Oreochromis niloticus: one gene and its partner. The protein of the gene in region 2 binds, or shares a complex with, the protein of the main gene of each other region. Links are inferred from orthologs where the notes say so. Each region holds a gene or a part of one and is shown on either strand. Other genes may lie near its edges.

Region 1 (5,195 bases), on a different chromosome or scaffold from region 2:
GGTCATCAGCGCCACCGCTGCACAAAAACAAACTGGTCAATGATCCCATCGCTGATGGATAACCTCAATCGAGCAGAGGCGAAGCCATCAGTTATGGGTGATAGATAGCAAGTCATCACGGCCCGAAAGCTGCTGCAGCTACTCAACTCATCACGTGGCTTACCCTGAGCAGGACGTGACGGCATCACACCACCTAACTCACCTGTGCAGATGGCCTCGCCCTTTGTTGTTATGACAACGATATCCTGGTTCACCTCGATGCCGTCTTCATACCTGAGCACACCTGGCAGCATGATCTTAGCTCCATAACAGATGGCGTTCACCTGCAGACAGATGTTTTCAGTGTCACCTGTGCAGGTAAAATTCAGCAGCTTGGCAACGACTTTTAACCTTGCTGATAGGTGAAATACGGCGAGAGTCTGCCTGGACTTCTACCAAACAGGTGACCTCCACTTTAACATTCACAGCTTTTTTTTTTTTCTAAACTGGGAGGACGGCAAGGAAGACTCACGGCGCTGTCCTTCATCACGAGGCGTTTGTGTGACACGAGCAGCTTCTCCAGCGGGAAGATGACTCGCCGCAGGTACGACTCGTCTTTGTTGTGGTCAAACTGCCACTGAGCATCCAGCACGTCGTGCATCGTCACCAGATTGTCCTGAAACAGAGATCTGGTGAGCGATGTCATCATTAAGTGCAACGATGTCATGTCGGCGATACTTGGGTTCGGGGTTCGGACACGCCATGTCCGCCACCTCTCCATCGCCGTCTCTGTTTCAAAGTTCAATTGACAGACCCACACCGAGCAGCGGGCCTGGACTCAACACTTTGAAACCACAGTGACATCACACAATAAGTGACGCTCACCTTCTCTCCCATGACCCCTGACCGGACCCTCCTCAGCTCCTGCATCTGGCCTCCAACGCCGAGCATCAGGCCCAGGTGGACGCACAGCGTCCGAATGTATGTCCCCGCCTCACAGCTCACCCAGAATATACCTGCGGGAAAGACATAACTTGTGACATCACTACGCTCCCACACAGGTGAAGCAATTAAACGTCGAATGATCGTATCGCTCACCAAGCCTCCTCTCGGGGTCATACTCGATGAGTTTGCTCTCGTAAATCGTTCGAACTCTCAGCTGACGTTTGACGGCGGCGATCAGCGGCGGCCGCTGGAACAGAGCACCCGTCAACGTCTCCAGCCCCTGCAGATACAATCCCAGTCAGTGGAGGTCACATGACTGGCAGCCAGCCAATAAGAGCTTCAGGAAAACTGTATTAGGATGTTTTTAATCAAACAGGAGATTTCAAATGATCGATAAGCACGCTAATCAATACTCGAGCAGATCGATGAGCGAGCGCTTGGCGGCAGGAAGTCTTACCCGGGCCAGAACGTGCTCGCTCTCGATGGCGTTGTGCAGCCGAACTATTCCCACGTACTCTTTACCTGCAACAAACACAGAGAGCAGTGAGGCGGCGGCAGTTTACTGGGCCCACGCCGTGGCGAGGGGCAAAGACAGCGGGCTGGACAACATCAGAGGTTAACCACTTCCTGTCAGCTGATCATAAACTGGTCACACCAATTGATCGCTGCAAAGGTGTGACCTGCCACACGTGAACCAATCAGCTGTCAGATCAACATGTGTGGCATCACAATGCTCAGCTGATCACCTCCGACAGTCGACAGGAACAGGAAGTGGTAATCATTACCTGCGCTTTGTTGGGACTTGACCAATCGCGTGGCTCGGTCGATGCAGACAATCAGGCAGCCTGTGACCTTTGGGTCGAGCGTGCCGCTGTGACCAGTCTTCTCGACCCGAAGGATCCGCCGGATCCACGCCACGACCTCGTGGGATGATGGGTTGGCTGGTTTGTCAAGATTAATGAAGCCTGACCTGACAGGAAACAGCAAGTAGAATCAGAGGGGCACTGGGATGGCGTATCGGTGAGGTGTGCTGGCGGGACGGTACCTGACATAGTCGTGGATGTTCCTCTTCAGTGGGTTGCTGCCGCTTGGTAACGGCGTGTAGTGCGCCGTCCGGATATTCAGCTTATCAAAGTTCTGCAGATAAAAACACACACAAAAAAAAGCAACTTTGTTGGCGTCAAAACATCACTTCCTGTTTGAAGAGCAACAATGGGAAGCAGCACTCTTGGATATGGGTTGCAGTGTCATATGATCAGAACAGGAAGTCGTCTTGGCAGCGGTTGAGTTGCGCCGTTCTCTTGGCGAGGTTCCGGCTGTTGTCCGGCAGAACGCCGGGACACTGCCAGGACCCTGACCGAGAGGCTCCGCCACCAGAACGGGAGCAGAAGCACCGACTGCGACTCAAAGGCAGCACTCAGCGAATGGATAAACAGGTTCATCACATCACACGACCGCGACTTGACAGGAAGTAGTATCGTGACAATTACAAGTAGACTCAGGTGACCTACCTTTAGCAGCAGCGGCCATTGCGACGTGTCCAATGAGGCAACTTTGGACTCTGGGCGGATGAAGAAGTCCCCGCTCTGCTGGATTTCCTGAACAACAAGAAGAAGTTCGTTCACACACTTCAGGGTGCCAGGCACTGAAACAGCGACCTCTGACCTTCTGACTCACCCCAAGGTCTTCTTCACCGACTTTCTTCACTTTCTTCTTCTTCTTCACTGACGTTGCTGGAAAAAAAAACAAAAAAACTTGATATCAGGGTGACAAATGAGCATGCTCAGTCTGTAGGCAGACTTCCTTATGTCTTTGACCTGCTTTAAGATGATCTAACACAAAAGGTGGGGGGGAAAAAAAGTCATCTGGTGCTAAAATGGTGACGACATGAACTGTAATCATTTCTCAGGTTAAATCGGCTCATTCTTCTCTCCCCTCGTGCGCAGCTGCACAACCCACGTGGTTGTGCAGCTGCGCACGAGGGGAGAGAAGAATGAGCCGATTTAACCTGGAGGCCACGTGCCTCCCTGCGACACGTGGTTGTTAGCATGAGGTGGCTAATACACCGAGCTAACAGGCCTTTAATTGCTCAACTTATCAGGCGATTAATAATCAGGATGTTTAACGCGGCCGCAGATCGATGCAGTGAACTGGACCCGATCGTAATAAGCAATCAGTGATCGATCACAGCTGAGACCGACTGAAACTGATTCAAACTCACGAGCTCAGTCAGCACCGAGACCTCCCAGCAGCTCCACCAAACCTGCAGATCGATCAAAATCCGCGGATCTATCCGATTCAGCTCACTGATCAGAACCTTTCAACACATGATCCACCTGAACAGGTAAACTCAGTTTGCGCTTGCAGACGTGCTGCACACACGCCGCTTGTACACACTGGCACGTGTACCTAAGCTCGAACCGTTCCCCAGATCCTCCGAACCTTAAACCCAAAAAACAGACTCGGAGCATTTACGATCAAAAAGCGTTTTGTTTTTTTGTTTTTTTTCTGGAAAACGTGTTTTCCGTTTTTTAAAGGCAGTTCTGCGGAATCGAAGAGGCTGCGCGTAGCGAGCGGGTGTGCGCAGGCGCGGAGGTTCTGGTTCTGTCCGGTCTCTAACATGAATTTGATTCTGATTAAAACTAAAAACTGAAAGTTTGGAAGAAACGAGCCTCGTGCTCACCTCCTGTGTCCGCCATCTTCCGTCGACTGAGCGCGCACAGCGACCCCTTCCTCCTCTTCTCCCCCTGCTCCGTCTTCTTCTTTGGTGTTTGCAGAGGCGGAGGGGTTTACCGCCACCTAGTGTTGTGGAGATCATCAAACGTGTCTTTGGCTGTGTCCGAATTCAGGGGAAGGATGCTTAAAATGCCATATTTGGAGGCAATGACGCCACAGCGACGTGACGAGGACTGTCCGAATTCAAAGAGCACTCAAAATGTGGCGACAAATGTGTCCTACTTTTCCGCGAATTTGAGGGTTAGTCGTGTCCGAATTCAGGGGAAGGATGCGCCAATGCCATATTTGGAGGCAATGACGTCGCGGCGACGCGACGAAGGCTGTCCGAATTCAAAGAGTTCTCAAAATGTGGCGACAAATGCGTCCTACTTTGCCCTGAATTCTAAGGATGGTCCGATGTATCCTTCATGTCCTACTATATCCCAGGAGTCATTGCGGGTCATAGAGGAGATTTGTTTCTGATAACGATGGTGGTCGAAGCAGGAGAGGAAAACACTTTCAAATGTAAGTATATGAAAATCTGGTTGTACAAAAGTTAAATTGTTATAGCGGTCGTTTTGTTAAGCTTTGGGCATCTGCATAGACATGTTTCTTTTCTTTAAAATAACCGTAAACCAGCTTGTATCGGGGGTCCCGCGATTTTTCATGTATTGCCGCTTACATACAGCTAATTTTGATGTTTTCGAATTGGTGATATGTTGTGGGGAACAAAGACCAAACGGCTTAATTTATTAAAACGAGGAGAAAACGATCACCTCTTCACTGGGGTGAAGAATTGGGCCGCTACGGCGTGGATGTACAAGAATAAATCAATTTACGCATCATATTCATATGAGTACGGTCCTATTAACCCTCATGCTGTACAGCAGCGGTCCCCGACCTTTTTGAGCCACAGACCGGTTTATGTCAGACACGGAGCGGCCTTTAAGGTATCGCGGATAAATACAACCACATAAAATGATCCGACCAAGACAAAAACTGTGGTATTTTGTAAATATAATAATAAACGTGAATGTACTGTGTAATTGTGTAACTTTATTAGCAGTGTCCTCCTGAAAATGCGCCAATATTGACAGTAACATCCTCCTCTCTGCCACTTAATGCTCTCTGGTCGCTATGGTAACTGTAAATATTTCTTTCAAAATAAGACACACAACTACAACAAGGGAAAGACTCAGGGAAACCGAGTTAACGATAAAACCCCTGAAAACCATAAATTTCACACCGGAGCCTCAACTCTGTGGCAGGTGAAATTCTCCCCCTTGCAGGCCAGAAGACATGAGATAAGTTTAAAGAATACAAAGTACGTATGTGTGTTATCAAGAAGATAATTCTCAAGAACACAAGTTAATAAATGTGCAATTACTAAGAGTTGTTGTGGTGTTTTTATTTGCCTGCTGTCATTTTTGATTTCCTCTGCCTTTAGGATTGCAAGTATCCAGGCTCAGGAGAGGGGGTCAGTGGGAAGCCCACTGCTGCTACTTGGCCCTTGTTTGCCCTCATGGATGAGGTGATAGGATAGATGCCTTCCATTA
Region 2 (5,195 bases):
ACAGGTAACGTTTCAAACAGCTGTTAAGTCTCATTCTGAGGAAGCTTCAGTGCTTCCTTCATTGCCTCCTTTAGCTGAGGAGACACTGAAGCATCCTTTATGAAGGAGAGGAGACGACGTGATCCATCAAGTGTAAAAGTGAAGATGTTTGTGCGGCTGCAGGAACGAGTTCAGACGCGTCACAGCGTTAACGACTTTAATAAGAAAAAACAAAAACATCTGTGAAACATCTGCCTTTACCTGATCACAGATCAATACATCGATTATACTAAACATTTTTCACTCAAACATCAACATCGTTCTTTATCTGAAGTCTGTTTGGTCTGGATTTAAATCCTCCTGCTGGATTAGCCTAGCTTAGCACAAACACTGGCAGTGGATGGAAACTGTTAGCACAGCTGGAGGAAGAACTGTTCCTTTGGGGGTGGGGCTTATGAAGGGGTGGGGGCTTCAGAGGGGTTTGGGCAGGCTGGAAACTTCCTCCAAGCACTCGTCATACGCTTCCTGGTAATCTTCATGAGGTTTGATGAGGATGACGCAGGTCGGCCTCTTCGAGCCCGCAGAGGAACCCAGGTCCTGGAACAGAGTTTCACAATAAGAGTCAGGAAATAAAAAAAGATTTTAAAGTCAGAACTTTCACTGCTATGCAGATGACTCGCAGCTCTATCTATCCATGAAGCCAGGTAACACACACCAATTAGTTAAACTGCAGGAATGTCTTAAAGACATAAAGACCTGGATGGCCGCTAACTTTCTGCTTCTTAATTCAGATCAAACTGAGGTTATTGTACTCGGCCCTGAAAATCTTAGAAATATGGTATCTAAGCAGATTCTTACTCTGGATGGCATTACCTTGGCCTCCAGTAACACTGTGAGGAACCTTGGAGTCATTTTTGACCAGGACATGGTAAATGGTAAAATGGTAAATGGCCTGTATTTGTATAGTGCTTTTACTAGTCCCTAAGGACCCCAAAGCGCTTTACACATCCAGTCATCCACCCATTCACACACTGGTGATGGCAGCTACATTGTAGCCACAGCCACCCTGGGGCGCACTGACAGAGGCGAGGCTGCCGGACACTGGCGCCACCGGGCCCTCTGACCACCACCAGCAGACAACAGGTGAAGTGTCTTGCCCAAGGACACAACGACCGAGACTGTCCCAGCCGGGGCTCGAACCGGCAACCTTCCGATTACAAGGCGAACTCCCAACTCTTGAGCCACGATCGCCCATCGACATGTCCTTCAACGCACATATTAAACAAATATGTAAGACTGCTTTCTTCCATTTGCGCAACATCTCTAAAATTAGAAATATCCTGTCTCAGAGTGATGCTGAAAAACTAGTTCATGCATTTATTACTTCCAGGCTGGACTACTGTAATTCATTATTATCAGGATGTCCTAAAAACTCCCTGAAAAGCCTGTTGTTGTGATTTGTTGCTGTATAAATAAAACTGAATTGGAAGCACACAGACTTTTCAAAATAAGAGAAATTATCCCAACACTAAAAGTCAGGAAATCACAAAAGATTTGAAAATAAGAGTCTGAAGCTGACGCGTGCTCACGTCTCACATGATCAGACGTTCGTTAGTTGATTGGCTGAAGCTCAGCAGGTCATCGACTAATCAGAAGGTTGGTGGTTTGATCTGCATGCAAGAAAGCTTTTCTACTGAAAACGTCTCGATGCACGCTCAATCATCCAGGTAAGTAAATCTGCAAAAGTTGATTCTGGACGTAGCGTTTTCAGTGGTGCTCATGGCCGCTGATCAGTGGTCATGAGAATTTGCATAATTATGATGAAGGAACTGACCTCCCAGCACATTGTTCCTTCAGTGGGCTGGTTTCAGTCATTATGCAAATGTACTGTTTATAAGATTGGGGAAACCTGCAGTCAGCTGAGACTGAAGAAGTCACCTGATGATGATGAAACCTTTCTCCCACTGAAAACATCCAGATGAACAGAATCAACTTTTGCTAAGCTGCTGTTACAGAGGGCGTGGCACACACAGCGCTCTGAGACACACTGGTGTCGACTGTTTGTGCGCGCAGTAACGTTTTCCTGCTGCGCTGAGGAGAGTGCAGCGAGCAGTGCACACACATGCTGTGTGAGCGGCGCTCTGCAAGCACAGACTGAGTTTCAGCCACGCCCATCCAACTTTCACAGAGCAACGCGTTCAGAGCCCGCCCCCATCAGGTGACAGACCTTCAGCACACCTGTCCACTGTCACTCACCACTTTAGACGGGATGTAGGCGTACGGCAGGCTTCTGTCCTCACACATGACGGGCAGGTGGCAGTAGACGTCGATGGGCAGCGTGTCGCCCGCCAGCACCACGATGCTGCAGACACATCAGAAACACATAAATACACCTGTGATCGTCACGAACACCTGGACACACCCGAGGACGTGCTGAAAGGTGCAGCAGCAGCGACTCACCCTTTCTCTCCTTTGTTGATGAACTTCTGAACTTCTTTGACTCCTCGTCGGATGTTCTTCACTTTGGCGGCTGGATGATAGAAGCAGAGACACATTAAACCAGACTCCAGTCAAAAACCTGCAGTTTTAAGCTCAAGTGCAACATGAAGGCTCTGCGCCTTCTTCAAGCCCAGACCAGCTGCAAACTGCATTTAAAGTCAGGAGGAGCACATCTGGATGTTTAAAGCTTTAACATCTGCAGTGTGAACACATCGTTCACATGATTCCCGACAACAAAAGTTCCCTCCCAAACCAAACTGTGAAGGAGATTTCCTCACATACTAAAAACACTTCTGCTAAGCATCAAAATAAAAGCACATGCAGCTGCCTTTTAAAACGCCCAGTGAAACCGGAAGCGGGTCTGACTGAACCTTTCACTGAGGATGAAGCTGTACAAACAGCCGCTGATTTTCCACAGAAAATTACCAATAGATTACAAACTGTGCATCTATAAGCGACGTGTTTACGGCCGAATTAACCAGAGGCTTCAAACGACTCGAACACTTTCTTATTTAAAGTCCTGCATCGACTCTAACAACTGCAGAGCAGAAAGAAATCGTTAAATTCGTGAATTTTTAAACAGAGTTCGGCGCCACAGAACAGTAATCTCCAACATTTCCCGGCCGTTAGCGGGATTCTTCTTCTTCTCACCTTTTTTCACGCATTTGTAGAGCTTCTTGCTGAGCTTTTTGGAGGCCAGCGGCTGAGCGATCGGGTTCAGGTGAGCGATCAGCTCCTGGTACGACCTCTCGGTGCCCCCGGTACCGGCTTCTTCTCCCTCCTCCGAAACTTTCTCCTTCTTCACCTTCGTCATTTTTGATCGATAATCACTGGTAATCGATACCCGTTTGATTGTTTTCTGCTCGGACTCCTGCCTGCTGATCACAACACGCTCACAGAAAAGACCCCACACGTGTTTCAAGCCTCTTTCTCTGCTGTTTGTGAAAACGCTGAACCACAACAGCGCCACCAGCGGCCCGGAGGGCAGCGGCAGCACCTCCCTTCAAAATAAAATACCAAACTTCATTTTTTAGGTTTAGTCAGAATTTTACTGACACTTCAGAAATATTCAGCGTAAATATATATCTATATCTATGTTTATAAAGAGATAAATAATAACATTTAAAAAAGTGAAAGTTTAAGTGGAAAGTTTTGGATTCGGCAAGAAGGAAATAATTTCCCCCTAAAACCTAAAAACCAGCTTCACTGTGTGGACACTCGACAGTTTTCTTTCATTACATGAAGCTAACAAACAAACGCGCACTAAAATTAATTATTGCTCATCAGAATGATCTGAAGAGAGTTCGTTATTAATATTTCCTTATAAACTTAATGATCAGGTTTTATTGCAAAGTGACACGACAATAAAATGAAAAACTGCTAAATGAAAAGTAATGAATGCTTTTGATTCCACATACACAGACACATTATTCAGAGTATTTATTTAATTACATTTGATCTGGAAGAAATTAAAAAAAAGGTTAAATACAATTTCCATTTTTTAAAGTTAAAGGTTTTTATTTTGTCAGTAATGAATTTGGCTAGAAGCCAAACTTGAATTGTGTAAAATCATTTAAATGATTTCATGTAAATTCTGAATCCTGAAATCACCTTCCAAAGCTCACACGAACTGAATATTTGTGCATTGATTAAATATCAGATCTGAGCTGAGCTTCTCTCCACAGTCTCGATTCATCTTTAAGCTCAGTCACAAGCATGAATTTAATTTTAATGAATTTAAGCTAACAACCATTTAAATCGAGTAAACAGATGAACAACAGAACAAAACAACAGATTTGTTAAAAACAAATAAGTGATAAATGCAGTAAACACTGATGATCATTGATTATTGATTTCTGCTGGTGCGGAGCTGGGCTGTGACGGGCCGGTCTGGGGCAATGACTTCATGCTGATGACATCATCACTGGCTGATGATGTCACTGAACATGGTGGGGAGCTTCTGCTTCTTCATCTCGGTGGCCATTTGACACCAAACGCAGGGCAGACAGAAGGTGGAGCACAAACAGTCGGTACAGAGATTCCCCTGAAACAAACAAACGAACGAACAAACAAAGTGAGCCACACTGGCTAACGTTAGCTTAGCGGCTGCTAACTCAAACCAAACGAGCGTCTCAGCGCCACCTCGTGGTCGTACTTTGATGCCGTAGCGCTGACGCAACGACACCCTGATGGACATCGTGATGGGATGGACGCAGCCGAACACGTCCAGCAGGGGGAGACAGAGACACTGACCGAACTGTTTGGTGGTTCGACAGGCGAAGCAGGGACAGCACCAGAAGGCAAAGCAGCCTGGGAACGACAGCAGACGACAAACACAACGTCAAAAACAAACTGAATAACAACATGAAACAAAGTAACACAAAAAACTGAAAAAAAAAGCAACAAATTGCAAACTATAAATAACAAAAATAAAAACAGCATCACTTCAGTTAAATGTTTAATATTACACAACAGGAATGAATTAATTTCTTTATAATTGATTAAAAAAAAGTTCAATCATAAAATATGATTTTGTTTTCTTCTGTTTAACAAATAAACGTATTGTTTACACTTGCAGTCACTACTTAGGTTCAGACGATGTGTTTGTTTTTTAAAGATGTGAGTAAAACCAAGCCAACATCAGCTGATGTGTTAGTCTTTGGATGGATTCACGTCACACACACTGATGATAATTTGATGCTTTTTGAATGGAGTTT

Evidence for each region. Proteins that work in one complex are often made in the same cells at the same time.
Region 1: nhp2 (region 2) and dkc1 share a complex: the UniProt entries of both Homo sapiens proteins name them as parts of the H/ACA small nucleolar ribonucleoprotein (H/ACA snoRNP) complex. The link is inferred for Oreochromis niloticus from reciprocal best matches to the Homo sapiens genes NHP2 and DKC1.

The regions. Positions count from the first base shown.
Region 1 is NC_031983.2:30,855,235-30,860,429, forward strand, and holds the start of dkc1 (H/ACA ribonucleoprotein complex subunit DKC1), read right to left. Parts: upstream 2,842-5,195; 5' UTR 2,827-2,841; coding exon 2,742-2,826; intron 2,658-2,741; coding exon 2,602-2,657; intron 2,523-2,601; coding exon 2,436-2,522; intron 2,062-2,435; coding exon 1,970-2,061; intron 1,895-1,969; coding exon 1,710-1,894; intron 1,447-1,709; coding exon 1,382-1,446; intron 1,205-1,381; coding exon 1,078-1,204; intron 996-1,077; coding exon 865-995; intron 656-864; coding exon 512-655; intron 324-511; coding exon 203-323; intron 160-202; exon of another isoform or gene 83-159; intron 18-82; coding exon 1-17.
Region 2 is NC_031975.2:32,975,635-32,980,829, forward strand, and holds nhp2 (H/ACA ribonucleoprotein complex subunit 2-like protein), read right to left. Parts: upstream 3,435-5,195; 5' UTR 3,293-3,434; coding exon 3,130-3,292; intron 2,510-3,129; coding exon 2,440-2,509; intron 2,342-2,439; coding exon 2,236-2,341; intron 577-2,235; coding exon 451-576; 3' UTR 183-450; downstream 1-182. Other genes in the region: cornifelin homolog B, read right to left, coding at 4,400-4,522, 4,634-4,788. UniProt on the Homo sapiens protein: Required for ribosome biogenesis and telomere maintenance. Part of the H/ACA small nucleolar ribonucleoprotein (H/ACA snoRNP) complex, which catalyzes pseudouridylation of rRNA.